4 linked regions of the Styela clava genome follow. The protein of the gene in region 1 binds, or shares a complex with, the protein of each later gene. Links are inferred from orthologs where the notes say so. Each region holds a gene or a part of one and is shown in the gene's direction. Other genes may lie near its edges. The genes, in order: splicing factor 3B subunit 5-like, splicing factor 3B subunit 4-like, ATP-dependent RNA helicase DDX42-like and splicing factor 3B subunit 2-like.

Evidence for each region.
Region 2: splicing factor 3B subunit 5-like (region 1) and splicing factor 3B subunit 4-like share a complex: the UniProt entries of both Homo sapiens proteins name them as parts of the SF3B subcomplex of the 17S U2 SnRNP complex. The link is inferred for Styela clava from reciprocal best matches to the Homo sapiens genes SF3B5 and SF3B4.
Region 3: the proteins of splicing factor 3B subunit 5-like (region 1) and ATP-dependent RNA helicase DDX42-like are in contact, whole or in part, in a cryo-EM structure (PDB 7EVN), measured with the Homo sapiens proteins. The link is inferred for Styela clava from reciprocal best matches to the Homo sapiens genes SF3B5 and DDX42. Residues at the interface, in NP_112577.1 of Homo sapiens: Arg4, Tyr5, Thr6, Ser9, Gln10, His13, Leu14; in NP_031398.2 of Homo sapiens: Asp156, Ala159, Tyr160, Phe161, Tyr163, Met164, Asn167.
Region 4: splicing factor 3B subunit 5-like (region 1) and splicing factor 3B subunit 2-like share a complex: the UniProt entries of both Homo sapiens proteins name them as parts of the SF3B subcomplex of the 17S U2 SnRNP complex. The link is inferred for Styela clava from reciprocal best matches to the Homo sapiens genes SF3B5 and SF3B2.

What each region holds. Positions count from the first base shown.
Region 1 is NC_135262.1:19,158,409-19,165,198, reverse strand, and holds splicing factor 3B subunit 5-like, read left to right. Parts: upstream 1-4,743; 5' UTR 4,744-4,830; coding exon 4,831-5,091; 3' UTR 5,092-5,858; downstream 5,859-6,790. Other genes in the region: derlin-1-like, read right to left, coding at 1,572-1,704, 1,951-2,061, 2,142-2,194, 2,437-2,532, 2,710-2,736, 3,210-3,274, 3,574-3,685, 3,778-3,877 and 1 more; SUMO-activating enzyme subunit 1-like, read left to right, coding at 5,906-6,790. UniProt on the Homo sapiens protein: Component of the 17S U2 SnRNP complex of the spliceosome, a large ribonucleoprotein complex that removes introns from transcribed pre-mRNAs.
Region 2 is NC_135255.1:4,024,356-4,031,075, forward strand, and holds splicing factor 3B subunit 4-like, read left to right. Parts: upstream 1-4,253; 5' UTR 4,254-4,297; coding exon 4,298-5,368; 3' UTR 5,369-5,998; downstream 5,999-6,720. Other genes in the region: translation initiation factor eIF2B subunit beta-like, read left to right, coding at 6,036-6,194, 6,530-6,695. UniProt on the Homo sapiens protein: Component of the 17S U2 SnRNP complex of the spliceosome, a large ribonucleoprotein complex that removes introns from transcribed pre-mRNAs.
Region 3 is NC_135253.1:14,088,258-14,096,585, reverse strand, and holds the start of ATP-dependent RNA helicase DDX42-like, read left to right. Parts: upstream 1-5,038; 5' UTR 5,039-5,198; coding exon 5,199-5,300; intron 5,301-5,431; coding exon 5,432-5,539; intron 5,540-5,857; coding exon 5,858-5,938; intron 5,939-6,074; coding exon 6,075-6,201; intron 6,202-6,416; coding exon 6,417-6,720; intron 6,721-7,247; coding exon 7,248-7,494; intron 7,495-7,970; coding exon 7,971-8,177; intron 8,178-8,328. Other genes in the region: polycystin family receptor for egg jelly-like, read left to right, coding at 1-546. UniProt on the Homo sapiens protein: ATP-dependent RNA helicase that binds to partially double-stranded RNAs (dsRNAs) in order to unwind RNA secondary structures. Unwinding is promoted in the presence of single-strand binding proteins.
Region 4 is NC_135251.1:20,765,182-20,773,297, reverse strand, and holds the start of splicing factor 3B subunit 2-like, read left to right. Parts: upstream 1-4,800; 5' UTR 4,801-4,877; coding exon 4,878-5,049; intron 5,050-5,193; coding exon 5,194-5,249; intron 5,250-5,370; coding exon 5,371-5,782; intron 5,783-5,961; coding exon 5,962-6,137; intron 6,138-6,494; coding exon 6,495-6,598; intron 6,599-7,479; coding exon 7,480-7,740; intron 7,741-8,116. UniProt on the Homo sapiens protein: Component of the 17S U2 SnRNP complex of the spliceosome, a large ribonucleoprotein complex that removes introns from transcribed pre-mRNAs.

The sequences.
Region 1 (6,790 bases):
GGGATGGCTTTAAATGTAGGACTATGTAGTAAAATCGGAAACTGTAAAGTTACAGAAGGCGTCCCGCTTTGAAGTAAAAAAAATAGTCGTTGCCCTAGCTAAAGGGACGATGTTTTGGGGCGTATGGTGACCTATGGACGCAACTACCTCCAATTAGTTGTCGTATGGGGCTTTGCTAAGCGATATCTTTGGAGGGCAACTCCACGATAACCACTAACAATCTCCTGATCGAGAGCAGCGATAAGTTTCATTATATGCCAAACTCCTTGTGGTTAAGGCAGCGAGTCGAGCTTCGACACCACGGGAAGACAGTTTTCTGCCACTGGCGCGGCGGTGTGGCTCAACGGGCTAAGCGTTAGGAATACGCTCGCCACCGCACCTCTAATTACTCTGCGTAGGTTCGAAACCCATGCAGGGATGGTTATGTGCGAGAGGATTGCTGGACTCCTCGCCTTCGCTGGGTGGTTCACGTAACCGCTGGTCGGTTACGGCTTCCTCCACCACCAAGTCCATGCTTCCGAAAAAACAAACAATATAACTAATCCCATACCAGACTTGGAATTGTAACCGGACGAGAGGCCGCGGTTCGCTATATGGATAAGCCGTCTTATCGGCTTTCCTCTCCCCCGGGATAAATATGTAAATCCTATCCTCCCGGTTTGGTTGCTCAAACCCCTTGCGCTCGAAGTCTGTCCTACTTCGTTACTGTCATACTTTTCGTGGAAAAAATGAAAGACAGACACAGGAATCATAATTGAATCATTAAATTTTCTGCGTCTATTTGTGTAAAACAGAATTAATTAATTGTGTCTATTTGTGTAAAACAGAACTAATAAGGAAAATAATAAAAACAAGTTGATGATGCTCATATTGAGCAGCCCCTCGGCACCATTTCAGATTATAAAATATGCAACCGGAAAAAAGTCGTTAAATTTCTTGCATTTTTCCTTCTGTAATTAATGATTGTTGTTGAGGTTAATTTTCAAATCTTTGTTAAACATGGCATGGGCGTCATTATCTCAAAAATGCATTGTTCTAAACCAAGTTAACATCAGAAATAGCAGAGCCAGGACAATAAATAAGGTTTGTTGTTGATCTATTCATAAACAAAGACACAAGATGAAAAATTGAAACATTTCTATTGCAATACGTTGCTACTTAAAGACTATTGTCACTAATAAATAGCTAAAATGGAAAATGATGATTGCAAACTGTCCACATGGCGAGCACCCGCCAATCAGATTTTTGCGAAATTGAGAATTGAGATATTACTGAAACGTCTTTATTAGCAATTCACCAGACAAAATGAAACAAGGTTTTAACAATAGTGCAATATAGAAAACTTTTAGAGTTTTTCAGTCAAGTAATAATTTATCTTCGACTTATATTCGTCTGTTTCACCAAAATATTTTTGACATTTACTGTCATATATGATAAATACAGAATCCCAAAATAGTAGAGTGTAGAATTACTGTTTTTGTTATTTAAGCTTCACAGATAGACACATGTTTTCAACTAATAGAAGCAAGAACGCATCTTTGATAAACCAAGTTCTTTTCATGAATAAGATCTCAGTCTCCGCCCAACCGTTGACCAGCACCACCCCATCTGTGAGCACCATCATCAGCTGGTGCAGCACGTCGAGACTGTGGTGCAACACCAAACCCTGATACAGCACCTCGCATGTTGGGAAAGTATTTATATCTAGTAAATAAAATAAGATTAGCAATTTAGTCATATAAAGAGTGGCAAAAAAATGAAAAAAAGTTATTGATCATTCGCTGCAAGTTATACTATTCATTCTGCACTCGTTTTGTGTTTCTGATTTCTGATACCCTTTTTCATACACTGCTAATTTTTAAATCTTAATTCCACAAGCATTAAAAGTTGATAATAAAAATGGTAGACGACAATGCATCCAAATGTTCGTAACAAACAAACATTACTCACAAAAACTGAGGTGTTTCCAATAATGCTCTTCCACCAAAATCTTGAGGATATTTAAATTTCAAAAAGAAGTAAAGATGACCAACAAATATACCAAGTAGTTCCGACATTCCTCTGTAATGCAAAATGATGTAATATCTCTGTATGACCAATTAGTATTTGAATATAGTTGAAATGAAAAATTCAGAACTTACCCTCCTCTGATAATCATGTTGAATGCAAACAAAACCCATGGTAAGTAAGCGGCCTGGAAAATAGAGTAAATTTTTACAGTACTCCTAGCAATTCTATCCCACAAGTATAAAAATGGTGCCGCTTTGAGGCAAACAGCACAATTTAATATTATTGGCATATTTACATTTAAGTGGTACAAATTATGTGAATACAGTGTGAAAATCTTTAGTCAGAATGAAATCATAAATTTACAGAACATGAAATAGACACTCAATACACAATTATAATTGTCTAAATTTCTACAAATAAACTCACCTTAAACCTGGTTCCAAACCAGAATGATACAATTTGATCGCGATTTATTTGACACCAAACGTACAAAGCAGAGAAAATGAGTAAATCAAACATGATCTAAAAATAAATATATAAGTAATGAAAATCATTTTTAACGTGCTTATAAATGCTCAGCACTGGTGACATTATAATGTTGGATTACTTTGATGAACTCCAAAACTGAGTATGTGAGTCTTAGTCTTCTAGATATTTTAAGCATATTGAAATGATGAAAGCATAATTAAATTAACTTACCCTGATTTCCAGAGCCAATGCCAATCCCTGAATTAAAAAAAAACAGGTATGGTTAAATTAATTCAGATGGGCAGAATGAAAAAAATGCATGGCTTAATTTGCTCCTATGAAATGTAATAAGTTATTATAATTTTCAAGTTTGAATGAAAAAGTCAAGAATTTATATGTATTAAAATTTTTCATGAATAAAGCCAAAAATGTAAAACATAGAAACATTGAATAATCAATAAAATTTGAATGCATAAATCCTAATAATAAGGAACATGATATTTTCAACTTTTTTTGAGAATAAATTGACTACTCAGTCATCATAAATTGCGATTGTCGAATATAAGAAATATGGTAAATTTGAACAGAACCGAAAAGTGATTCAATACTTGGCCAAGTAGATCACTTACGATTCATGCTTTGAGAAATGTAAGAAGGTTAGGCTACTACTATAATTTCAACAACTACAATCAGGTATAGAGCAAGGCTACATTCATGAAAATAGTTCCTACCACTGTAGTAAGCCATGTGAAAGCAAGCATGAAAACATAGTCTGCAGGTCTCCCTTCAAATATACCTGTATGTAAATGTATAAATGAATTAAATATAGAAAGAATGCGTGTGTGATTAAGTCATCCAATCGGCTTTCCTCTCCCATGTGATAAAATATAAAACTAAAATATTAATTTCATAATTTCTGGTAGCAGACGACAAAATGGTAATACCAAGATATACCAGGATGAACCAAAAAGAAATAGTCATAATAAACATTATTTATAAAGCAATATAAAATGTGACCTCTGCTAAAAACAATTGAGATGATGAACAAGGATTATTATGATGTGTAATAAAAAATTAGGTAAGAAAATTAATCACCAGTTTCAAGTCTTGTTGAATAACTGTACAAAAAATATAACATAATGAGATAATGAAAACCAGTCATCGGTGTTATTGGGTAATAAACAGCAGCAGTGAATGGACGCCATATCTGAAACAAGGAGTGAAAGAAAGTATAATTATGGTCAATATTTTAACATTTCTATACATCAAAAATTAGTATTAAAATATATAACAAATTACCTGAAATCTACTGAATAAACTGTACCAATCCAAGATCAAATGCATTCCATTAATAATGTTAAATTTGGCCACAAGTGGAACTACAACTGATGCACTGAACCTGAAAAGAGAATGTGTGTAAAATAATGGTATATTACAGAACATCAGTACTACAGTGGATAGGATAGGATTTACATATTTATCCCGGGGGAGAGGAAAGCCGATAAGACGGCTTATCCATATGGCAAACCACGGCCTCTCGTCCGGTTAGACGAGAGTCCCATTCCAAGTCGGGTATGGGATTAGTTAGTTATACTGTATTGTTTGTTTTCGGAAGCATGGACTTGGTGGTGGAGGAAGCCGTAACCGACCAGCGGTTACGTGAACCACCCAACGACGGCGAGGAGTCCAGCAATCCTCTCGCACATAACCATCTCTGCATGGGATGCGAACCCACGCAGAGTAATTAGAGGTGCGGTGGCGAGCGTATTCCTAATGCTTAACCCATTGAGCCACACCGCCGCGCCGATGTTGGAAGTACATGAGGTATGAAGCTAGGTACTGGTAGATAGGCACAGTACTATATAATGAATACCTGACTGTTGGACCCAAAGACTGTGTGTAAACTGTACCTGTGTAGCCTACCTGTATTGTCTGATTGGAGTGTAACTACAGTCAGTTGGTAAAAAAATTTACGTACCGGTAACTTACCAATAACGAGTTATTCTCGGTATTCCACGATACCAGTCTCCAATATCATTAGACGCCATCTTTGAATATCCCTTATTATAAAACTACACCTAATACTCACGACAAACTGACAAAATATCAATGAAAACTTTAAAAACCAGCAAACAACAAGTTCTTCTTTGCAGACGTGTCTCAAATTATGCACAATAATGTAGATATAATGACGTAGTATGACTTGACAAATATATTGACAGACACATGTGCACCACCTTGTGATCAGATCCAGGAAGGATTACCGTACTTTGGGTTTCTTTTGGCATTTGGTGGTTGTTTGTAGTGAGAATAAGTATTTCGTGAGTGTACAGAGACAAAATATCAATCAAAATGGGGGATCGATATAATATATTTTCTCAAATGGAGCATTTGCAGTCGAAATATGTCGGTACTGGACACTCTGACACTACAAAATGGGAATGGTTGACAAATCAACATCGTGATAGTCTTGCTTCTTACATTGGTCACCCGGATCTTCTAAGTCACATTGCTATTGCGGAAAACGAAACAAGAGCTCGAGTTCGATTTAATGTGTTAGAAAGAATGTTCCAACCTTGTGGACCACCTCCTGATCGTCCAAATGTTGATTGAAGTGTGATTTAATTGGAAAGCGCTTGGAAACTGACATCTGCAGATCTGAGACACATGTCATACCCACCTCAAAATTGACTAGTGTTATGAAGCATGAACTGCCATGTTCTTACTAGTTTTAATATTTAGTTGTTTGAGAAGTTTAAAACTGAAATATTTCACAGGAAATACTGCAATGCTTTGTATTTAATTTGAAATGATATTACTATCTTGATGAAATTAATTTGATTTCACTATGAATAAAGCTCTAGACAAGAAGTCCATATGAAATTAAACTATTTTATTCAATCAAGTATTATTTTTCATATCCAAACTGCTAATAAATGTAGGTCCATAATTACAGAATTAAAATGATTTACAAATAGAGATATGTTCCTAATATTTTCTATTGTAATAGGTTAAATAATTGTGGCTATCTATCCATCGTGGCTTGCGTTTATAGATGAATGTGTTTCGAAATTTTCAATTTTGAAGCCATCCTGTTTTATAAATTTGTCATGTTTTAATTGTTGAAATGGATTGAATCAAATCAGTAATTCTTGTCAGTACAACTCCACTAAGCACAGCTTTAAAAACAATTCATTTTGAGTTATTTTATCAAAATGTAGCCCCGATCAGGCAGGGAAACTTTTTTTGAAACAACTTTATTTTTGTCATTTCTCTTGTCTCACCTAATTCGAACGATATATTATTCATGCTCATGTCAATTTTTTCTTCGACTTCATTTCTTGAAACATGATATTGTACTGCAAATGTTTTTTATTTAGGTAGTAATCTTTTAAAATCTTAATTCTATCAAATATTCAACATTGTAATGATGGAAAAAGAAGCTGATATTACTGCCGAGGAGTTTGCACAATATGATCGCCAAATTCGATTGTGGGGACTTGATGCACAAAAACGTCTTCGTCAAGCTAAAGTTCTTGTTGTTGGAATCGGTGGACTTGCTTCTGAGGTGGTCAAAAATGTTGTACTTGCAGGTGTAAAGGCTTTGACAATGCTTGATGACAAAGTAGTTTCAGAGTCTGATATGGGTTCTCAGCTTCTTGTAACTCATTTAGACATGGGAAAAAATAGAGCAGAAGCATCAATGGCCCGAACACAGCCGCTCAATCCAAATGTAATCGTATCATGCGATAAGATGCCAATTTCGGATAAACCGGATGATTTTTTTCGAGAGTTTGATATAGTTTGTTTAACGGAGGTACCATTCGAAGAAAGGATAAGAATTAATTTAATATGCAGATCATCTGGAATCAAATTCTTTTGTGGTGATGTTTTCGGATTTTATGGATATTGCTTTGCTGATTTGGGGATGCATGATTTTGTGCGTGAAGAAGTGAAAAAAGAGATAAAGTATGATCTTGATGGAGAACCAGAAGCAAAAAAGAGCAAACTAGATGAAAAGGGCAAAAAAGAAGAAGAAAAGATTCTTGTAAAAGTTACAGATGAATTTTGTAGCCTTGAAGAATCTTTAACTGAGGATTGGTCAACAAGATCAAGGAGAATGATGCGACAATCATCATATATTTTTTTTATCATTAAAGTAATTGACAAATTCAAGGAAAAGACGGGTCGAAGTCCAACATTCGGCAAAGAAGATCAAAATTTACTCCTAGAACTGAGAAATGAGGTTCTCAAGGATTCAAATGTTTCAGAAACTTACATTCCTGAAGAATTTCCTCAATTTTGTATTTCC
Region 2 (6,720 bases), on another chromosome or scaffold:
ATGTCATTCGCCGAGCGAATTTTGTTTAGGTGACATTGCCATCTCGTATTTACCATCCTGTAGCCATTCTTCTTATTTAGGAACTACGTGTTTTACAGTTAGCTGTTACAGCATGAAATAATGTACACATAATTCTACGTAAACTATCCATGAAATCCATTCCATAAACTATCCATGAAAAGATATTACAGTCAGATCTTCAGGTTGTAAAAAATATTATACAACAGCAACAGCAAGTGATCGAATATCTTTATTATAGCCGTGGTTGAACACCGCTGGTTGTCAATATAGATTTTGCACAGGCTTTTATACATTTTGTGAACGGTAAATTATGTTCTATTAGGGGATAATGTGACTTGGATACGTATTATAAAAGATTCTCTGCGACATAAGTCAATTGTTTCTGTTATGTAGTTTATATGAAGTCGTAGGCCAAATTACATTATTAAAATCGTCGTCCGATAACAATTAAAACTGGAATTTTGAACTAATATTGCCAGAAGACAAATTAGGTTGTTTATAACGATGCGATTGTTACTACCTGGGTAATATATTACGTCGAAATGTTTATAACAAATTAGAAGAAGTTTTGAATCAATTTCAAGGGTTCCGAACATTACTATAAAGATGTCGTCTGAATAACTAATATTCCCTACAGATCTGTCAAATTTCAACCCGTATTTAAATAATACATATGTCATACTTTTGAATTAATAAAAATAAACAACACAATGTCATTCAAACTTTACAATATTCAAATAGTTTTGCAAAAGCGTGATTGGTTTAATTAAATACCGATTTCCGGATGTAAATACTGATGATAAAAGTTTAATTCCATTTATGCTAAGGGGAGCTCTCATACAAACATTGACTTTTCCAAAATAATGCAATAGGGAAACAACATATGAAAAAAAAATAAAAATTATAGAGATATGGCAACTACCATTGACAAAACCAAAAAATCAGGCACTTTTTAAACTTGCCACATTCCTACCAGTGATAGATCTTCTAGTTTTGGACAATAAAAATACCAAATTCAGTCATACAAAATATGTATATTTGGATTTTCGGATTTAAAGTAATCAAAAACATCGGGAAATAGTTTTTTACAAAGTGCCTGAAATTTCACAAGTGCCTGATTTTAGTATTTTGTGCTTGCGGTTGTCAGATTTTATCATTCCTATTAAATTTCAAATAAATCCAAAAAGTACGATGGTTATCTATATGTTGTCAAATGATATTGCTCATTGCATTATTAAAAACGCTGAAATTGTTGTAGAACTAGGAATTTCCTTTAAAAAGCAATGATTAGTAAGTTCTGACTCAAATAATTTAGAAAAATTGTTGCGAAAATATATGGCAACTGTTATCGAAAAAAATAAAAAATCAGGCACTTGCGAAATTTGACCCCTCATCACCAGTCCCAATCGTTTTTGATTTTTACCAAAAAGACGTCATTTCAATCATACAAAAGAGTGTGTATTTTAGTTTTCTGCTTCAAAGTAAGTAAAAACATTGAGAAATAGATTTTTACAAAGTGCCTGAAATTTCACAAGTGCCTGGTTTTAGTATTTTGTGCTTGAGGTTGCCAAATTTTATCATTCATATTCAATTTCAAATAAATCCAGAAAGTACGATGGTTGACCATATGTTGTCAAATGGTATTGCTCATTGCAATATTAAAAACGCTCAAAATGTTGTGAAACAATGAATTTGCGTTAGAAAGCAAAGTATAGTAAGTGCTGATGCAAAGTATTTAGAAAAATTGTTGCGAAAATATATGGCAACTGTTATCGAAAACAATGAAAAATCAGGCACTTGCGAAATTTGACCCCTCATCACCAGTCCCAATCGTTTTTGTTTTTTACCAAAAAGACGTCATTTCAATCATACAAAAGAGTGTATATTTTAGTTTTCTGCTTCAAAGTAAGTAAAAACACCGAGAAATTGGTTTTTATCAAGTGCCTGAAATTTCACTAGTGCCTGGTTTTAGTATTTGTGCTTGTGGTTGCCAGATTTTATCATTCATAATCAATTTTAAATAAATCCAGAAAGTACGATGGTTGACCATATATTGTCAAATGGTATTGCTCATTGCATTATTAAAAACGCTCAAATTGTTGTGGAACAATGAATTTGCGTTAGAAAGCAAAGAATAGTAAGTGCTGACGCAAATAATTGCTAAAAACAATGGCAACTGTCACCAAGAAAAATGAAAAATCAGGCACTTGCGAAATATGACACGTCTCCATCAGTCACAAACGGTATTGTATTTTACCAAAATATTGTAAATTCAACCATACAAAGTGTATATATTTAATTTTCTGCTTTAGAGTAATCAGATACATTGTAAACTAGGTTTTGACCAAGTGCCTGAAATTTCACAAGTGCCTGATTTCTATATTTTGTAATCAATGTTGCCACATTTTACTATTGAAGAATTATTTATACCCTAATAAATTGGAAATAATATTGTTTTATTGCAATATAGGGATGCAAAAAATTATTTAAAGTCTAATTATCTTGTCAGGTAAATTGGAAACCCCAATGACGTACGGTAAAAATAAAAAATATCAAAGTGCCTGAAATGGTGCCTGAAAAAGTGCCTGAATTCGCAAGTGCCTGGTTTTAGCTACAGGAGTGGTGACTCCTCTACGGCCCATGGGCCGGGGCCACGGCCCATCTAATTGGGCCACATGGGCCGTGGCCCATCAAGCTATGGGCCGCGGCCCCATCAGGAAAATTTCAATTATCTTACCAAAATTTTCAATTTTTACAAAACTGTCAATATTCGAACAAAAAAATATACTCCTGTAGTATGTGTACCAGGTTAGGGTTAGGACAAAAAAAAATTCAGATTTTTTACATTATAGTTCTATTATGAGTTCGGGGACTGTCTGTGTTAGCCAAGTGAATAGTCCCTTTACACAACTTGATGGGCCGCGGCCCATAGCCTGATGGGCCGAGGCCCAATTCGATGGGCCGTGGCCCCGGCCCATGGGCCGCAGAGGAGTCACCACTTCCACTCGGTTTTAGGGAGACCCGATAATTTATAAACGTTTAAAAATTGTCAGGAGGTGAAAACACAAGGCGAATTTCCATCAGCTCTGTTAAGCCCAGTAAAGTTTAACATTTAGCCTACTTTGGTTAACCAAATAAACTACATCTGAAGGCGGCATAAATAACATGAGATATTATGATTCAAAACTAATGAAAAATTAAATAGAAAACCATCGTAACATTGATTATTCCATTGATAAACAAACAAAGATTTTGGGTCTGTAACTTTTCATGCGATTTGAAAACCTTCTAGATATGTCCTACACTTTCTGCAGTTTAATATTTCAATTAGCCAAGATACAATTTTGCCTTATTTTCAACTAATTTGTGGAATTACTGTACTGTAGTGGTGATACTGATATTCAGATATTGTAGTTATTAGCCCATCTGTCAAATAATATTATTATATACATGATTCCGTTGTTAACAAATTTAAAATATTTTTCACCAATGTTTATGCATCTAGAATTCTGAAATGATCACCATTCTTAGCACATTTCCATATGCAATTTTGTGTTTTTTAACTGTTGAGCAGTAGGCTATCACTCCCATCTAATATTTTCCAAATTCAAATATAACTTTATTCTAATTCAAAAACTGTTTTTAATTAGCAGGATTAGCCCCCAGTTATAACCACTACTTTCCCAGGTTTGTAATAAATTTAGTATGTGGAATCGGCGAGATTCTGGTTCTTTCAAAAGTAGCGTCTTGAGTATCATCTTTGAAGTGGAGTTTTAAAAAAAGTTTTATGTCATTGTATTCTGCATTGGTCCTATTTATGATTTTTTGTGTTAGGATTCAACTTACCTATGTTGCGAGTATTAAAAAGTATACGCCATAAGTGCTTAAATAACGCCAAACAAAAATGTGATGTGAAAGTACAGAAGTAAATGATGTAACTGCTAACATAACGCCAAACAAAATTTATTTTCATGAAACAACAGTCAGTCTCGAAGAATTCTATACACTATTTGCTGATTTTGCAAGGGACATACCTGCTTAGTTTAAGATTGTGTGTGTTTAATTTTAACTAAACACGTCTATGGGCAACTTCATTGCGCACATCACATTTCTGTTTGGGGTTATTTAATCAGCTTCACTTTTTTGTTTCGTGTGATTTAAGGAGTTACGGCGTTTACTTCGCTGGACCCTATTTTGCCATGTCATAATGTTTCAATTGCTTATGTAATAACAGATAGTTAATTATAATACTATAAATTTTTAAGAATATAGGCCAATGGCGGCAGGTCCTATTTCTGAACGCAATCAAGATGCGACTGTTTATGTCGGCGGACTGGATGATAAAGTAGCAGAGCCTTTGCTGTGGGAATTATTTTTACAAGCAGGTCCTGTCGTCAGCACACATATGCCAAAAGATCGCATTACAGGAGCACATCAGGGGTATGGGTTTGTTGAATTTCTTGGTGAAGATGATGCTGATTATTCAATTAAAATTTTGAACATGATAAAACTTTTTGGCAAACCTATTCGAGTTAACAAAGCTTCTTCTCATCAGAAGAATTTAGATGTTGGTGCAAATCTTTTCATTGGAAATTTAGATCCAGAAATTGATGAAAAATTATTATATGATACCTTTAGTGCCTTTGGTGTCATTCTACAGACCCCTAAAATTATGCGTGATCCAGATACAGGAAATTCGAAGGGATTTGCTTTTATTAACTTTGCCAGCTTTGAAGCATCTGATGCAGCTTTGGAAGCTATGAATGGACAATATTTATGTAATAGGGCTATCACAATTTCGTACGCATTTAAAAAGGATTCTAAAGGTGAGCGTCATGGCAGTGCAGCTGAAAGATTACTGGCAGTTCAGAATCCTCTTTCTCAGGCAGACAGACCACACACAATGTTTGCAGATGCTCCTGTTATCCCACAGCCTGGTAAAGTAAATTCAATTATGGGTAATGCACCAATGCCAATGGGAATGCCACCTCCACCACCAGGTCCACCAAGCATGATGCCTGGTATGCCTCCAATGCCACCTATGGGTATGGCTCCTATGCCTCCTCCTCCAATGCCACCAGGTGGCCTTTCGCAACCTATGGATGGTATGAATTCACAAATGAATATGCCAATGCCTCCATGGGGACCACCACCCCCTATGGGAATGGGCGGACCGCATGGCATGATGGGCGGCCCACCTCGCGGCCCCCCAATGGGTCCTCCTGCTCCATGGGGTGCTCAAGGTCATTTTCCTCCCATGCCACCTCCCGGTGGACATCTTCCCGGGCCACCTATGCGTGGCCCACCACCGCCTCCAAACATGGATGGAGCAAGATGGAACGAATAACTGGAATCATCACTACCAGAAAAAGGAAATCAATCAAGTTGATATCTTTTGAAGACATTGAAGGATGGGAGATGAACAGTACATTTACATTCCATATTAATTTATGGCTGTAATATAGGCAAACCACAGGGTGGATAAATATATTGTTGTATATTGATTGTCTCGATGACAAATATGTTCATCCCAGTTTGCAAACCTGAAGATGTTCCATCTAAACAAAATTTTGTTCTTGTATCACTATACATGAACACTTTTGCAAAGCCAAATCTCTTAATAAGAATAGTTATGTATTATCTGACTCTGATTGATATTCAAGCCAACTTATCGGTATGCGCCTTGCTTTTTACTTTATGAATATTGTCCCATGAAAATAAGTTTGAAATTGAACAGATTGAAGTGAAGTGAAAATATCTTATGACTTTTTAGTTTGTGGATGCCAAGTGTTTATATTGTTATTGTGTGCATATCACAAGTTATACCATAAACATGCACCTAATTGCTAAGACAGATTTGTAATATTATTTTGGTCTTCTTGGAGGTTGTTTATGCTGTCTTTCAAGAAATCTTTCTTCTCAACTGTTTGAATCATACTATTGAGCCATTTCTTATGTGGAAATAATCTTTTTTAGATTGTAATCATAGTGTTATTGCCTAATTTTTACTTAAAATGGCAACTCTAGTGATGGATCAGTTTTTGATGGATTTAAAACAGGATCGCTTCAAATCGTCTTATGAAACTGTATGTAAAACCATAAATTATCTACGCCATGTAATAAGTGCTGCAAGATTCAGCCATGCAAAAGATTTGATGAAAACTATTCAACAGGTGATTAATTTTTATCAGTATTAGGTTTGTAAGAAATTGTGTTTACAGTGAAAGATATTACACAATTTGATCTTGTATTTTTCAAATTTGTTTATTTTCTATTCAATGTTTTACCACTGATGGAAAACCCAACCAATTTTGAATTCTTATTGGAAATTTGGTACTTTCTATTTTGTGCATTCCTAGTAGCAACAATAACATTTCCCCATTACAATGATACTGTGGTAAACTGCAAAAATGCTATTGCGCAAATATAATAATTGAAAAGAGTGTGAAATGCAAGTTGTTATAACGATAAGAGGAAGATACACAAGTATTTCTAATGATTTTCATAGGAGGGGAAAAAAATTATTGCTCTGCAACCGTCTGCTTATGTTGTTGGTAATATGGTTAGAAGAGTCCTCAAAATAATTCGTGAAGAATATGCCAGATTACGAGGATTATCAGAAGAATCGGCGGGAAAGGAATCTCTTCATCGCATGCTAACGACGTCTGCCTCAGGTTTGTCAAATCAAATCCTCACAAT
Region 3 (8,328 bases), on another chromosome or scaffold:
TTAATTGGGAAAGTGTCTTTTGGACCACAGCGATGGAACTTCCACTCGTTCCTAACAGCATCAACTACTCTTACAAGTGTGGCTGCAGGCATGGATGTGTCACATCCGGAGTTCGGCGTAACCAAAGAAATGTGGTGGAGCATTTACTTTTGTCTTTTTGCCTTTTTCACATTGACGCTTTACACTAATCTTTACGCCACTGTTTTATCGGATGCTTTGTTTTTCGCTAAAAATGAAGCGACGAAGGAGGAGGCTCATCAAGTTGAGACTCTCGCGCTGCACTGGCTATTTGAAAAAACAGCAGGATATTTGGGTCTAAAATCTCGTGCGTTTTCAGATAAACGGATAAAACTCAGACCTCCCCTGGGTTCTATTATTCGTCATGACATTACAGAAGCTATGAGAAAATCTCTTACGCTAGATCCAGTTGCTATCACCGGATCAGAAAGACACATCACTAATAAGATCAACAATGACGCAATGAATAAGCGAAAACTTATGAGACGCAATTCGAATTTGAGGGAAAAAAATGATGTGGTTTCTTGATATCTATTGAAATAAAGAATTATGGTAAATTCGCAATTTGTGATTATTTTGGTCGAGTATCAGATTGTAATCTTGAGTAGGCTATTTCTCCTATTCAGTGGACTTCAACACAATTTTCAATAGCTTAAGTCTACAAGGCTCAACCTTTTGTGTACAACTGTCATTCGATTAAAATATTTGAGAGGAAGAATATTTAAATTCTACTAATATAACAGCGTGTTAGAAATGTCTCTTCGGTTGAAGTCTAAAGGGATTCTTATTTCTTCCACATTTCGCTGTAGCTGTACTATGGCAATATGCTCCTAAAGATGTCAGCACGTAATCCCCCACGAAAATTAGAATAATTTAATATAAAATAATATGAGGTTTTTGCAATTTTGAAAAGCAGTTTTTAGGAGATCGTCCAACATGCAATGATTTTAGAATTACCCGCAAAATATCACATAACGCTTTACGCTATCGTTTTTCAAGTACCTGCAGAATTTGGCTAACCCACAAACAGCATGTACATCTAAATTTTAGAAGATAACTCTGTTTTCAACAGGCTAAGACAGCATTTCCCAACCATTTTCTCACCCGCGAAAACCTTTGCGGACTCAAGGTGCGTTTATTGCAACCGTACTCTTTGTGAAGAAGCGATAAAACCAAACACAACAGAAATTTAACGAATTTCAAAATCGGAAATTTGCCGCAATTACGCGTTCGTTAAAAAGCCCACTTTTTTAGTGTGTAATGAACTTTTCTGTGACACAATATTCAATCCATGACAACGACGAGAATTTAAAATAACTTTCTATTTTAATTCAATTGCGTCCATAGTAACTCGCAGATGCGGTCGACTACTCGACTTACGACAAGATGATCTGCGAACATAATAATGTGAGAATATATTGCCCGATTATATTCAGTTTTGATACATATTTTCTGCGATCTTGCGATTTTGTTATCGCCGTTAGAAAAATCCTACTATCTGCTATAAATTTCCAGAATGGACAACTTAATTTAGTACTTATTAAAAATAGATTTATATTTAGTATATTAGTAAATCAAACCTAAATATTTATCGCCTTGAAATTCTCGCGGAACAACTTCTGAAGTAATCGTCGGGTATACGTCACTCGTTAAAGAGCCGACTTTTCTATAATTTTTTCTGTTGGATAAAATATTCAATCCATCCATATTTGTGATCCTTTTAGCAATACTAATGAGAAAATATCATGACAATCCGTGCACACAAAAATGTGTGGTAAAGTGCCGAATTATATTTAGTTTTGATTCGTATTTTCGTAAATTCGACAAATCTGAGCTGTTTGTACAACACTTACGGCGCTCCAGTACTATACGTACCGATGTGGAGTAAAGAAAAGAATCCTACGGGAAAATGCCCTGGTACGTAAACTACGGTAGCACCAGAAATTTTGCGATTTGCAATGCGTAAAAAAGCATTTTAATCGGTCGAGGACCATCATAAAACAAAACTTATCGTGTTCTCCATTTTATTTTTAGTATTTTGCATCGCCGCTTTTCAATTTAGAAAATTTCGGTTGTCACCATTTACACCTAACAGAAAAAATATTTATTCCTCGTTGTTCGAACTCGCGAGAAACACCACTTAGGTATCTATCGACGTTTTCGTTTCCGCAAGCGACGCGCAAGTGAACTGTCGCGTCACGTATTACCAAATTTTCGAATAGTAAATTGCTATTCTAATATTTGAGTGCGGCCCCTGTGAATTTCTGGCTCATTGCGGACTCATTTGAGGCCGCGGACTCGGGTTGGGAAACACTGGGCTAGAGCAGTGCTCCGCAACCGGTGTGCCGCGGCGCACCGGTTTGCCGCGAGACGATGCCAGGTGTGCCGCACAGGAATTGCCACTTTTCTCTTCTTTTTACAATTTTTTTTTATCCTTTGTTAATTTTACGTTAGTCTACTACTCTACTAACGTAAAGTTAACCTGCTTTTACGTTAGCTTGAGCGACACCAATTCAAATTCCTTACTCCCCCCACTGTGCATTTGTGACGTAAAAAGGAATAGGCCTATATGTCAAGCAGATATATTGTGAAGCCCATATTATATACACGCTTTGGTAAAGCCTATTGTCGAGGCTAAAACATAGCACGTGTAGTCGTGTAGTAATCGAATATGAATAAAACTTGAGCTTAACGAAAGAATTACCCCTGCGTATTCGAGAAAATTTCTTTGAAGTAAGAAATTACAGAACGCTAAGACTGAATTTCAGCGAAATTCCACTTGATGTGTCTTGGATTTCAATAAAAGAAGAATATAAGCACATTTCCAATGCAGCTATTGAAATATTGCTCCAGTTTTGCACAACTTATGTGTGCGAACAAAGCTTTTCCTCTTTATTACTGATCAAAAACGATAAACGATACTGTATAAAGGATGTTGACGGCGAACTTCGAGTTGCTCTTTTATGTATTGTGCTCATTAAAACAACCACAAATCTCTCATTGAAATATGAACCTAAAAACAAAGTTACACTTTGTTTTTTTCGTTTGTTGTGGTGTACCGTCAAATTTGGCAAGATTTATAAGTGTGCCGCAAGTTAAAAAAAAGGTTGCGGAGCACTGGGCTAGAGAAAAGATTGCAGAAAACTATTACCCATGTTACATAATCTAACAATTCTCTTCTTCAAACAACTTAAAATTCTATAACTACACAATGACATGTTAACTTGATATCGCAAAAAACTTGGGTCTAGTCATGACGCTACTACTATGACCTAATCTTTTAAGGTCAGCCTACCTAGCTTCTAGATCTTGTTCTCGTAAAATGACTTTGATCCATTCTTTGTAGCGATTTCCGCTTGACAACGAAATTCTTGAGCTGAGAGTGTTTTCTAGAAGTGCTTTGCAACTCTTGCAGTAGCGTTAGTGAGTTAACGTATCTATTCATTATTGTACGTAAATGTAATTGAATAAAAGAAGGCGCAATTAACGAAGTCGCCATTGGCCAATCAGCAAGATACAAACATTACCTCGTTTAAACGTTTTTGAATTCTATTCGTTAGTGTTCAGTTGTGTTTTGAAAATTTAAATATAAATCAGATAATTCAATGATCATTTTGTCTTCTTAAAAGTTTCAATTTAATTGCAGTAATCAAAAATTGGTGTAGAAATAGCTGTGATAGACTAGGCTGATATTCTTTACCGGTGCTCGCCAACTCGCGAAACTACTCTTAAAATAAGCCCCGGAATTTTCGCAATGGTATATAGCAGCGTTTCCCAAACTTTTTCGGCCACGGAACACTTCCACGTTTTATCTCGCCTCGCGGAACACCAAAAAAATAAAAGAGTAAAATTGATAAAGTAAAAGTTGTCAAATGCGCGGGGAAAACTAACAGAATTGTGTTAAACATACTTAAAATATGCTTGAATATTTTACATGTTGCCAATGTTATAAAAGTTTTCTTAATTTAATATGAATCAATAAATTCACTTTACCATTTATGTCATTTACTTTTCATTACGTAGTGTTTGCCTCTAATGTTACGTCTAATGGGAGTATAAGTACTTGCTGCAATTTCGCCGCAGTTTATTTATCAACTTAATAGAGTTTAGCGAAAATGAGTGATTTTTTCAGCATTTTAAAGTAAAACCAGGCTGATACGGAGGAAGAAGAGTTGACCCTTTTGCCTTTATTCTTTAGACCTACACGTTTGCCTATAGAAAAACCAAAAAGATTGTTGTAAACTTGATAATGAACTTATGAATGAATAACAGTCTAAAAGCTAGGCCGACGTATTTTTGTACGTACGTAATTTATATGACTTATCGAAAACGCCACTACCCTTTCCCAGTTAGGGCGACGGTGACGCGATATTGAACGGTCAGTTGGGCGACAACTTCACGTTTCAAAGATCAGGGCTCCCCAAACTCGCGGCCCCTTTTGGATATATAATTTTTTTTCGCGGACCTTGTCCACGTTAACAATGCTAAACAGTTCGAAAGATGCATTTTTGATGTTTTGTAAAGTTGGTGTTCTTTTTGCGGCCCCTAAAATTCGATGCGCGGCCCCTAATTTGGGAATCGACAAATCTCCATAGCGACCATTTGAGACGTATTTTTGATTCCTTTTCCACCGAACACTTCGAAGTTGCTCGCGGAACACTAGTGTTCCGCGGAACACAGTTTGGGGAACGCTGGTATATAGGAAGAGTGTGGGAAGAATTTTGGGAAGTCAAAGGTCGGGGAAAAGTCCATTCACCCGGAGAAACCACTGAACTGTGATCTATTAGCGTCTCATATTTAATAATAATAAACAATCCAAGATCAGGCGAATAGGTGAGAAAAATCAAAGCAAATTATGATTTCTGTCAAATTTCCTAAGAAATGCATTACGCGCTACGCAAAAGTTGGAAGTCTATCGCCTAAACGAGGGAGGCTTCTATTGGTCCCGCTAAAATGAGAGAGAAGCACACTTTATATATCTCTGTGGGAGGAACGCCTGGTCACCCGAACATAACCGCGCAGTTGCGCTGCAGAGCAATGTAAATTATAAGTAAACCATAGCACCAGCATCATCGATTAACACACAGACTTGGTTGGAAAATTCTGCGGATTATCGCAAGGCAGTGTCCTAGCCAGGCGTTGCTCCATTGTCTAATTTTTGTGTCAAAGGTGCCAAGAGAATGAGTGGAGGAAATAAAAAGTATGGGTTTCAAGGTTTTGATATGACTGGCTCGTCTAGAGGAAACACGTCATACAAAATCGGATCCAAGCGGAGATTGAGTGTGAGTAAGATTAATATTGTAATATAAGTAGGCTAGCCTAGTTCTATGTATATGGCACTCTAGGGCAAACTGTTTCAAAAACAGTTTTATATTTGGTATAAAGTCAGATTTAAACAACATTGAATTTTTAGGAGGGTGAAGATGAATACTTCAATGATGACGATGAGCAGCAAGATAATAGACAAAAGCAACGTGATATTTTGGCTGGATGTCCATTTTTATCAGAAGAAGAGAAGCAGGTAAACTTGGTGGACCCAACCCTACATATTCTGATATTACAGCGCTGTTTTGAGTTAAAGTTAGGCTACATGTCAAGCGCAAGTCTTGAAAAAAATGATGAAGAAGTGGTCAAATGTGTGTCATGTATATATCATATGAAAAAAATAAACATTACACTGCCACTGCTGCATAATTGCAGTATAAAAAGTAATAAGTAAAAGTATAAAAATGTCCTGTTTTATTATAAAAATAACTTTGCAAAAATGGAATGAAAAGGTTATATAAATAGCACTCTAGTCGTAGTATATGTATTAATGAATTTTAATGTTTGCCATAAGGACATGATCAAAAAACAAGAAGAAGAAGAAAGTGAAGAAGAAGATCCTCTTGATGCATTCATGGCTAACATTGAAAATGAGGTTATTTTTTCTTTTCATTTTGCAATGATGATATGTTAATGTTACTATCTTGAAGAGACCATGCTCAAGTTTAAATCTAGTTATTGGTGTATTCATAACTTCAACCTTAATGGCTGAGCCGTTTGTTATTTTTAAGGTCAAAAAGCAGGACAAAAAGGATTCCGTACAAAAGCGAGATACAATCAAAGGTGTCAGAGATGATTTAGAGACAATGGATGATGAAGAATCCTATTATAAATATATTGAAGAAAATCCTGATGCAGGTAGATGCTAAATTATCTTTGAAAATTTATTGGATATTCTTTTTGTGTTAGTAGAAAAAAGAGATCATATTTGAGTAACAGTTTATATGATATTCTTTAAACATAATCTTTATGAGATCATCTCTATTATGTGAAATTGATCAAGTATGAAAATGAGGCAGTGGAATGATGTAATATTGTTCGTTTTACAAACCTGTCACATTTTTCTTCCGCAGGGAAAATGTTTCTGGATGCTGATGATCCAGTTGAATATGATGAAGATGGAAATCCAATTCCTGGAACACAGAAAGATAGAAAGATGATTGATCCATTACCAATGATTTATCACTCTGAAATTGAGTATAAAACTTTTGAGAAAAACTTTTATGTTGAGCATGATGATATTAAAAGACTTACAGATTCAGAAGTTTCCATGTTACGAGGGAAACTTGGGATCCAAGTTTCCGGTTTCTTTCCACCAAAGCCTGTAACAAGTTTTGCTCATTTCGGATTTGATGAAAAACTGATGAAAGTTATAAGGTGAGTTTGCATTTTCTAGGATAGTTAGAAATGTATATGCTAATCTTTCTTCTTTTAGCTTGAGCATTACCATAAATACATAGTGTAAATGCAGATTAAAAAATGCTTGATTTGAAGGGAAACGGCAAACCTTAAACTTTGCTACCCAAATATGCTCCGGTGTGATCACTATGTTACGAATTTATGCTAAAATTAGAACGAGAATATCGGTCAGAGACCGAAGACTTATCGATCGAAAGTTAGGGGATCCCCCAAAACAGCGCTCTTACTCCATAGTGACACCTTGTGTCCCATCACTAATTAATTAATAACTCGCTAATTATTCGACATAATTTGCCCTAAATCAATAGGCTTCTGGTCCGAGATAAGATGAATTCACATGCAAAATCTAGAGCAGACTCAATCTCGCTTTCGTGAGATATGGCGTGTATCTAACAGACATACAGACAGACAAATACCTATCAACATACTTACCGATTTAAATCGATAAGTAATTATTCGATAAATGATATAATATTCTTTCGAAGGAAAATGGAATATACCTCCCCCACGCCAATTCAAGCTCAAGGCACACCAAGTGCATTGTCAGGCAGGGATGTAATTGGTATTGCCAAAACTGGTTCTGGTAAAACAGCGGCTTTTGTTTGGCCCATGTTGTCTCATGTACTGGATCAACCTGTACTTGAAGAAGGTGATGGACCAATTGCACTTATTGTGGCACCAACAAGAGAACTTTGTCAACAGATACATGCTGAAGTAAAAAGATTTGGCAAGGTACGGTATTTATATTACTGATGGGGTTTGTTGCCTTCTTGTTCATATATTTGCATCGCTCATCGCTCTCTTGTTTATTATTTATTGTTGTTGCTTGATATCTTTGTTAGTTCCAAAACAACATGGGTTTGGTACTAGAGTTATCTGAAAGTAATGAGATACCATATTTTTGTATATCTGAAATGAAAACTTACAATAAAATTAGGTACTTCCGTAGTGTGTGTACCAGGTTAGGCCATAATTTTATTCTGATTTTCCTTATTTTAGTTCTATTACGAGTTCGGGTACTGTCTGTGTTAGCCAAGTGTATATATCCCCTGCCCATAGGCTTTCATCTCTTTACACAACTTGATGTAAAGTAGGCGAACAAAATTAGTTACCTCCATATTGCACTTCTGGAGTGCCTAAAATTATTTGTATTTTATCCTTCTACACTACTCGTCATTTAGACTGTTCATTCCTCCATTTCTTTTAAGATTTATGGAGTAAGATCAACAGCCTGTTATGGTGGTGGTAGTATGTGGGAACAACAAAAATCACTTGCTGAAGGATCAGAGATTGTAGTTGCAACTCCTGGTAGAATTATCGACCATGTTCAGAAGAATTACACTAACATGCGAAGAGTAACTTACCTCGTATTTGATGAAGCAGATAGGATGTTTGAAATGGGTTTTGAATATCAGGTATCTGAGTATATACTTGTTTGGTAGTATCAAATAAAGTATTGTATTAAGTATACCAGGGGTTGCCAAACCACAGGTCACAATCACAAATTGGGTCGGAGTGATAAGTAGGTAGGGTCGCAAACAGGTCATGGGGTCGCTGAGGTATGGT
Region 4 (8,116 bases), on another chromosome or scaffold:
TTTTCGATGAAATGAAAAGTGACATATGAAAAATACAGAAGCTGTAGAAAATATTTTGCATTCCAAAAAAATTAGTTCACATATTAAATATTTTACATTACAAAAAAATGGTGCTCCAGAAGTATGTGTACCAATATGAAGGTAACTAATTTTGTTCGCCTATTTTATATCAAGTTGTGTAAATGGACTAAATTCTATCGGTAGGGGATATTCACTTGTGTAACACAGACAATTCCCGAACTTTTAATAGAACAAAAATAAGGAGAATCGTAACCTAACCTGGTACACATACTACAAGAGTACCGAAAAAACAGCCCACATAGTAAAAGCAGTTATGGAAATACTTTACATTGCAGAAAAATTAATTCACATAGTAAATAGCAGACGCAAGATGTATTTTGAATTGCAGAAAAAATAGCTCACATAGTTAATAGCAGTCCTGAAATATTTCTCACTATTGATAACAAAAGTATAATTGCATCCAAATCAACAGTATCTTTATGACTATATAAAGGATCGTTAAAATTAAATGATATGCAAGAATCATATTGATAACAAAATGTATTCTAATCAATTTTAATATATCTAAAACAAATTCTTCATAAATATTTTTTGTAATTTACAATACATGAAAATATGTGAAACAAACTCAGGTTCTCCATTACATAATACACACGTTTCATTCCCTGATTTTCTTCCAATTTCTGGCTTTTGTTTTCAAAGGCAAGATATCCCAGAGTAATTTATAGTTAAAATCAGTATTTTTAATAGGTAAACGAATAGCTCGCAGAGCCATGTGATTCATATGGAGGACAGAGCTATGATTGTGAGAGGCCGTGGTTCGCCATATATTTAGGCATTCTTCTCGGCTTTCCTCTCCCATGGATAAATATGTAAATCCCATGTTATATCAATGAATAAATACATAAATAACCGCACCCCTCTAGGCGACTGGTTCATATTCTGTTCTGTAGATACGTTTTCTGCCTAATAATAGATATGCATTCTCAATAAGCATATGCTCATAGTTGTATGCTTTCAGCGTACCATACTTCGAAACCCAAAACCAAATATGTATTGAAGAATTACAGACCTCAATACGGCCAATTTCGCACCCGACTCGGCTGAAGCAAGGGATTTTGGCAGCGAGCAATGCGTTTTCTTAATATGCAACGAACCATTTAGCTGGACGACGTAAAAATGCAGGGAACAATACCAAAATGAGCAAATCTTTGCAAGTTTCCACTCATTGTATATATGCTCATTGGTAGGCTTCAAAGTATCGCAAACTGACGACGTAGAAACGCATCAGTCATGCGTGGCGAACCGGCCGTGAGCGAACTGCGAAACCACTGTGAAGTGACTCACGAACCACTGTGCACGAACTATGGACCTTTCCTCAAGCATCGACTTCCTTGTTTACTTCATGACATTGGCCAATCAGCAAGATGCAAAAAGTGACGTAACAATGTTCCCTTTTCACGCCCGCTCGGACACTTTTCTCACTCAGACAGATTTTCAAGCGTGGTCGTAAACATCACCTCGTTTTCGCGTTTTTGAACTCTATTCGTTAGTTTTCAGTTGTGTTTCGGAAACTTAAGTATGGATCAGATATTTCAATGATCACTCCAGAGCATAATGGCTCTGATCACTCTGTCTTCCTAGGAGTTTTAATTTAATTGCAGTAATAAAAAATCAGCGTAGAAATAGCTGTGCTAGACTAGGCTAAAATTCTTCACCGGTACTTTTAAAAAACGGATTGTTGTATGCGATGAATCATAATGATGGTTTGAAAAACATACCTTATTTTACAGGCGCCAACTCGCAAAAGCATTCTTAAAATAGCCCCGAAAATTTTGCAATGGTAGAGTATGGGAAGAATTTTTTGGGGGTCAAAGGTCGGGGAAAGGTCCATATTCAGTAAACTTTGATGTACGTCGACGTATAATACACGCTTAGCTTATAGCTATGTAGCCTAGATACGGTATGTGTTGCATAGTGTAGTGTTGCATAGATATTAATCAAAATACTATTATAGCAAACGATTCGGAATGCAAATCAAAATTAATCACAATAATATGCGGAAAATCAACAATTTGGGAATATCGAAATTCAGTAAAATATGATGAAATAGGTGGAAATTATTGTTATATGAGCACATGGTGCATGGATGATCTTTTACATAGGTCAATCATGATGTAAGTTTATATGCAACACCATACTCTGAAAATTATTGAAAGTATGTTATTTGTACATCATTCTCAAAAGAGGATGAGGTTTCGACTATGAAACATAGGCCTAGATGGCGAATGGGAAAAACCCAATATGAAAGCGTGGATTTTTCCATATTCTCTGTCTAATTTTTGTATTCTTGTATTTTTCATGCTAACTAGCAAAAAAAAAAAAAACAGATTACCTGTAAATTAAAATTATATTCAACTAACTGCTGAGTAGATTACATGGGGATTAACTCAACTTTTTTGGACATATATTCAGATATTGGATTATATTAAATTAATGACATCATGGTAATGGTATGAATTTTGTCTTTATTTTTATTTTTACTATTTAGCCTATGTACAGATGTATTGGGGGGAATGGGATTAAATTGAAAAACGATAAACAAAAACATGGAAACAAAAAACTATCAATTTATATATTTATAATAAAATGATTTGATACCAAAATATTAATACGAAAATTCCATTTGGCATTGGAATTTATTTGGCACAAAAAAAAAAAAAAAAAGCTATGTAGCCTATACAGCAAAGTGATAGTCACTTTGGTATACAGTATACACTATACAGGTATATTCAGATATTACTTGATCTGCGCAACGCCAGATCCTTGCTGCTTAGGAGGACGGGTTCATTGCGTCTCTTTTTTTTTTTTTTTTATAGTTCTGCGTAGTTCTGTAATTGCGTCTCATTATTTCCCTTTTCGTTCCTTCACTGCAAAGAGAGAGAGAGAGGGATTTTATTATCACAAACAATGCCAACACTAAAAGATATATTTGATTCAAAAACAGAAAAAAAAAAATTTCAATACTAATTGGTTGATCATTATATGCGAGAATGGAAATACCGGTACAGTGGTACCAGAACGGTACAGTATGTAGTCAACATGTGTAAGTCCTGACTCCTGAAGTCAGCAATTTAAAAGCGGTCTTACTAGTTACTGAATACAGCGCGAAACACCGCAAAACAGCGCAAAACAGAGGGAAACAGCGCAAAACAGTGGGAAAACAGCGCGAAAGAGCGCAAAACAGAGGGAAACAGTGTGAAGCAGAAAAATTTTTTGCAATGAGTTCGGGGCACCTTGTTTTGAGTTGGAGTACCACGGCAGCAAATTAAAAACACAAACCAACGTATGTAGCCAGTAATGCTGTAATGGCAGGTCTGCCCCTGCTATTGAGACACATTTTGGGTACCATAATTTAGAACATTTTTCATATGGATATGGTTGGCTTTAGGGTTAGGGTTAGATAAAAAGGGACCTCCAGAAGTATGTGCACCAAGATGGCGCACAACCTGAAAATAGTATGTGTGTGTGTAGCGGATTCAGGTTGTGCGACATATTGCTGCACATACTTCTGGAGCACCAGAAAGGTAGATAAAATTTCGCATGATGACCTATAATCCGGTACATAACCTTGTAAATATACCGGAAATAGCGCAATAAAACCATGGCGAGAGGCGCCGTGGTTCTTTCGTGGCAGGAGGTGGTAATGACTGCGTCTCCTGTTTTCCGCTGTTTCCCTCTGTTTTGCGCTGGTTTCCTTCTGTTTTTCGCTGTTTCGCGCTATTTTGCACTGTTTTGCGCTCTATGCGGTGTTTCGCACTGTATTCAGTAAGTAGTAAGACCCATTTAAAAGTTAATACCCGTACTGCAAGTTAAGGCTGTACAGCTGTATGGTGTTAATAGATCATATGAATTGAGTGCTGGCAGGACCAGAGAATTATGGCAATCATCATGAGCTTGCAATGCCGCTAGAGTTCAAAAAGTTGATAAACTTTATTTTTGTATTGAGACAAGTACTAAAGTAAAATCATGATGATGATATCTTAGACCAGGACCAGGAGTGTGTAACTTGCAGCCCGGGTGCCAAATGCGGCCCTCTAGGAAAAATTGTGTGGCCCGCGGAGAAGTGCCAATTTTTAATGATGTGCGGCCCGCGAAACGTTTTTTATTTTATTCAATACCGGTATGGTATGTGCGAGTATTCTTGAGTCCAATTTATTATCTATTCCATGACTTAACAGTTAGCTTGTGCAAACAATGTATGTCACAAGATCAATAACCAAAATTTTTGTGCCTGCAGCTACTAGATAGCCCATGTTAAGGTGCAACCCACGGTTTCACCTAGTTCAGTAGTTATTACTATCTGGCCCTACTGTATTGAAGGTTGCACACCCCTGTCTTAGACAATGAGTATTTATAAAATAAAATAAGTAATATTTATGTTAATTCTGTAATTTGGATGAAAAGAAAGTCAAACAGTCAAGAAAGTTTTTTTTTTTACAGTCAATGACCTCGTTTCAGAGACAAATAAAGTGTTCGCTTCATTGAACTGAATGTCGGGGGTATCGAGGTGTCTTGGAATCGAAGAACTGTGCCCCTACTGGATTAGATTAATCCGAAATCAAATAAACAAAGTCCGAAAACCCAATGTTTTAAAATATTGAATTCCTTCTTTAATTTTTTTTTCAGGATTTAAAAAAAGCAGTGAACGTGAAGACTACAATTCCTCTAACATAATTTTTGCATCACAGTTTCCCAGCTTAACCATTTATCTCAATCTTCTTTGATTTACAGATTTATATAAAGTAGATAGGTAGAGGCATAAAGTAGTTTGCAGCAACAGCATTGTATAAACCATGTCAAACAATGACATCCAACCTCCCCCTCCACCCCCTCCAATGATGGGATCATTGCCTCATGGACCACCTATGATGGGAGGCTCATCAGGACCCCCACCCCCTCCGGGGCCCACAAATATGATGGGTCACAATGTGCCACTTCCGATGAATATGGGTCCAATGATGCAAGGTAAGATTTCTTTTTTCAAATTAAATTGGTAATTAATGTTGATTGCGATTACATAGCACAATAAAAATCAACAAAAAAACAACCCTTGTTTAGCGAATTCTATTGAATATATAATTTTAATAGCAAGTTTTCTTCCAATTACAGGTGGACCAGATAATATTGGCTTCAATGACAGAATGAACAGAAGACCCCATCCAAATGTAAGTATCAAATTGGATTTACTACAACTTGTCATATTGCTATAACTTTCATTCATTCTTTTTGACGATGTAATAATTTTAGAGTGAAACACTATCTGTTCAGAAATAAATTTATTTTCAGGATGGTGAAGATATGCGAGGAGGTCCTGGAGGATTTGATAGACCTCCTTTCCCTGATCGCTTCAATAACATGCCACCTCGTGATAGGTTTGACGGGCCATCTGGACCTCCTGGTAATTTTGATGGCCCACCTGGGCCCCCGAATCGCTTTGATGGTCCCCCAGGAAGTTTTGATGGCCCGCCACCGAGACATTTTGATGGTCCACCTGGTGGATTTGATGGCCCACCTGGTGGTTTTGATGGCCCACCTGGAGGTTTTGACGGGCCTCCTGGTAGCTTTGATGGACCCCCTGGGTCAGGTCCATCAGGCCCTGGTGGATTTGATGGGCCACCTGGCGGGTTCGAGGGACCTTCGGGACCTAGTGGATTTGACAATCATGATGAGTATAGAGGAGAACCAGAGATGTATGATGGTATGTATTTATGTCGTAATATGCTGCTGAAGTTTTTGTTAATCTGTCATTGAATAATGGAATAATAATATGGAGCTAAGCTAACTGGTGTTGTGTGCTTGGTGTGTATTTATTGGTAGATTAGTGAAAATTTTATATAAGAATACAAGTTTTATTTCAAATCCTTTTATAAATATCAGAACGTGCTCCTCGACGTGGTTCTCCCCAACCTCTTATGGGACGTCGTGTGGAACCAACTAAGGATTTCGAAAGAAGGTTGAAAGAAGATGAAAAATCAGGCAAAAAAGGAAGAGATTTCAGGTTGCCAGCTGCACTGGAAAAAATGCTTGCCTACAAAGATGAAAGAGCAAAAGAGGTATTTTTATTGTGTGTTGTTTAATAGATAACATAGTGGTTAAAGTATTGAACGTAAGAATGTTGGCATTGCAGGCCAGAACTGGGTTTAAAATTCATGTCACTAATAAATTGGGTAAAGACTGCCAAACTGGGAAGATCTTATCGAAAATAGGACCTTCTTGCTTAGAAATGGCTGCTTGTTCAGAATTGAAGCCATATAAAGCATTTTAACTAATATGATCTTTAACCAATTCAACTTAGAAAAAGTTCGACTACTACTACTGTTGAATTTGAACCTGCTTTCAAAAAATATATTTGTGTTTACATTGTTATACCTCGAAATATCCTGTAATAGTTTCTATTTAATTTGAAATAGGTTGGAGTTTCGAATGAAGAAGTCAAAAAGGCAATGGAAGGAAAATTGGAACTCGAAAAAGCAACAGAACCAGCAAATGAAACAACAATGTCTGAACAAAAAAGGTATTTAGAAATGTTGTTGGTTTGAAAATGTCTTTATAAGATATGTACAAGTCTGGGACTTTACAACCAGCGACGCCTGCAAGATTTCAAAAATTCTCCCGATTTTGACTCTAAGTTAATGAAAATTTAAGACTTGAGATAATCCTATTTTGTTAAAAACTTTGGTCTTTCTTAATTAACAGAATGTTAAGGACAGTGTTGAACATAATTTATTTGAGTTTCTTTCTAAAATTTTGTCTTTAATTATAACCATTATCAAGTCTGGAATTCCGAATTTGGACTTACAAGAAATTCAAAATTTTGACTTGACTTTTGATAAATGGTGATGCAATTATCGCAAATACACTACAATTCATATTGAATTCACAATCCAGTACATTTTCAAAAACCAGAATCTCCATCACTTTTAATCAATATAATGAGAGAAAATTTTGATCAGGGGCTTAGGCTACCCAAACTTTTGAGCTCGCGAAAATTTCCTGTGACCCCTGTTAAGTCGGCATTGTTACGCAAGCGCACCGCTCCTCGGTTCTTACGATTAAAGCCTGCATTATTATATAAGCGTGTCGCTTTTTTGATCCTATGTATTCTCTCGAAATCATGAAATTTAAGTTTTGCACCAGTTTTTAATAATTGTGTTTCAAATCAAAATTCTAAAAAAGTACAATAGATATGGTAGCCTACTTTGTGTGTAATTGGTGAAATAGGTTTGAACCCTTAAATTCAATGCGCACCACCATGCGGGGTCGCGACCCCCAGTTTGGAAAGCCCTGGTCGAGGTTACTTCATGCAAGGAGACAGAAAATGTTAATCTTTCTGCATGCCTCTGTGTGACTAAATAATGCTACTTCCAAGACTTTCATATTTTAATATTTTTTCAGGCGACTCGAGGAAATAAAAGCAGAAATTACGAAGCAGTATGTTGAAGATACCAAACCCGGTAATCTCCCACTTACTAAATCAGAAGTTGCTGAACAAGCTCGTAAAGCTCTCAAAAACAGAAAGAAAAAAGAAAAGAAGAAGAGAAGAAATGTACAAAAGAAGAAAGAAAAAGAAGAGAAGGAGATAACAAAAGATGCTCAACCTCCCGCAGAGAAAGGAGAGATTGATGCAGTGAAACAAGAAAAAGATGTTGAAATTGAGTAGGTTATTGAATGGTTTTACATATGTGTTGGAATTAATGTTGGATAATATACACCAGGGGGGGCCAACCTTTTTTCGGCCATGGTCGACTAAAATATTCAAAATAGCTTGCGATTGACTTATCGTTACTGAGGTCATACACAAAAACTATGAGTACTGAATATGCAGGTAACTACACACACGCATATAAAAATTCCACCGCTGCCGATATGCTCGGCTCCGTGGATGCATTCTGAATACAATCGGCACAAAAAATTTGTATTTTTTTTGTTCCATTTTATTTGATTATGTAATGTGTTTCATCTCTTATTTGAGATTTATTCAAATAATATATATACAAATAATATCAAATTGATCCAAGGGCACTTTTCATCA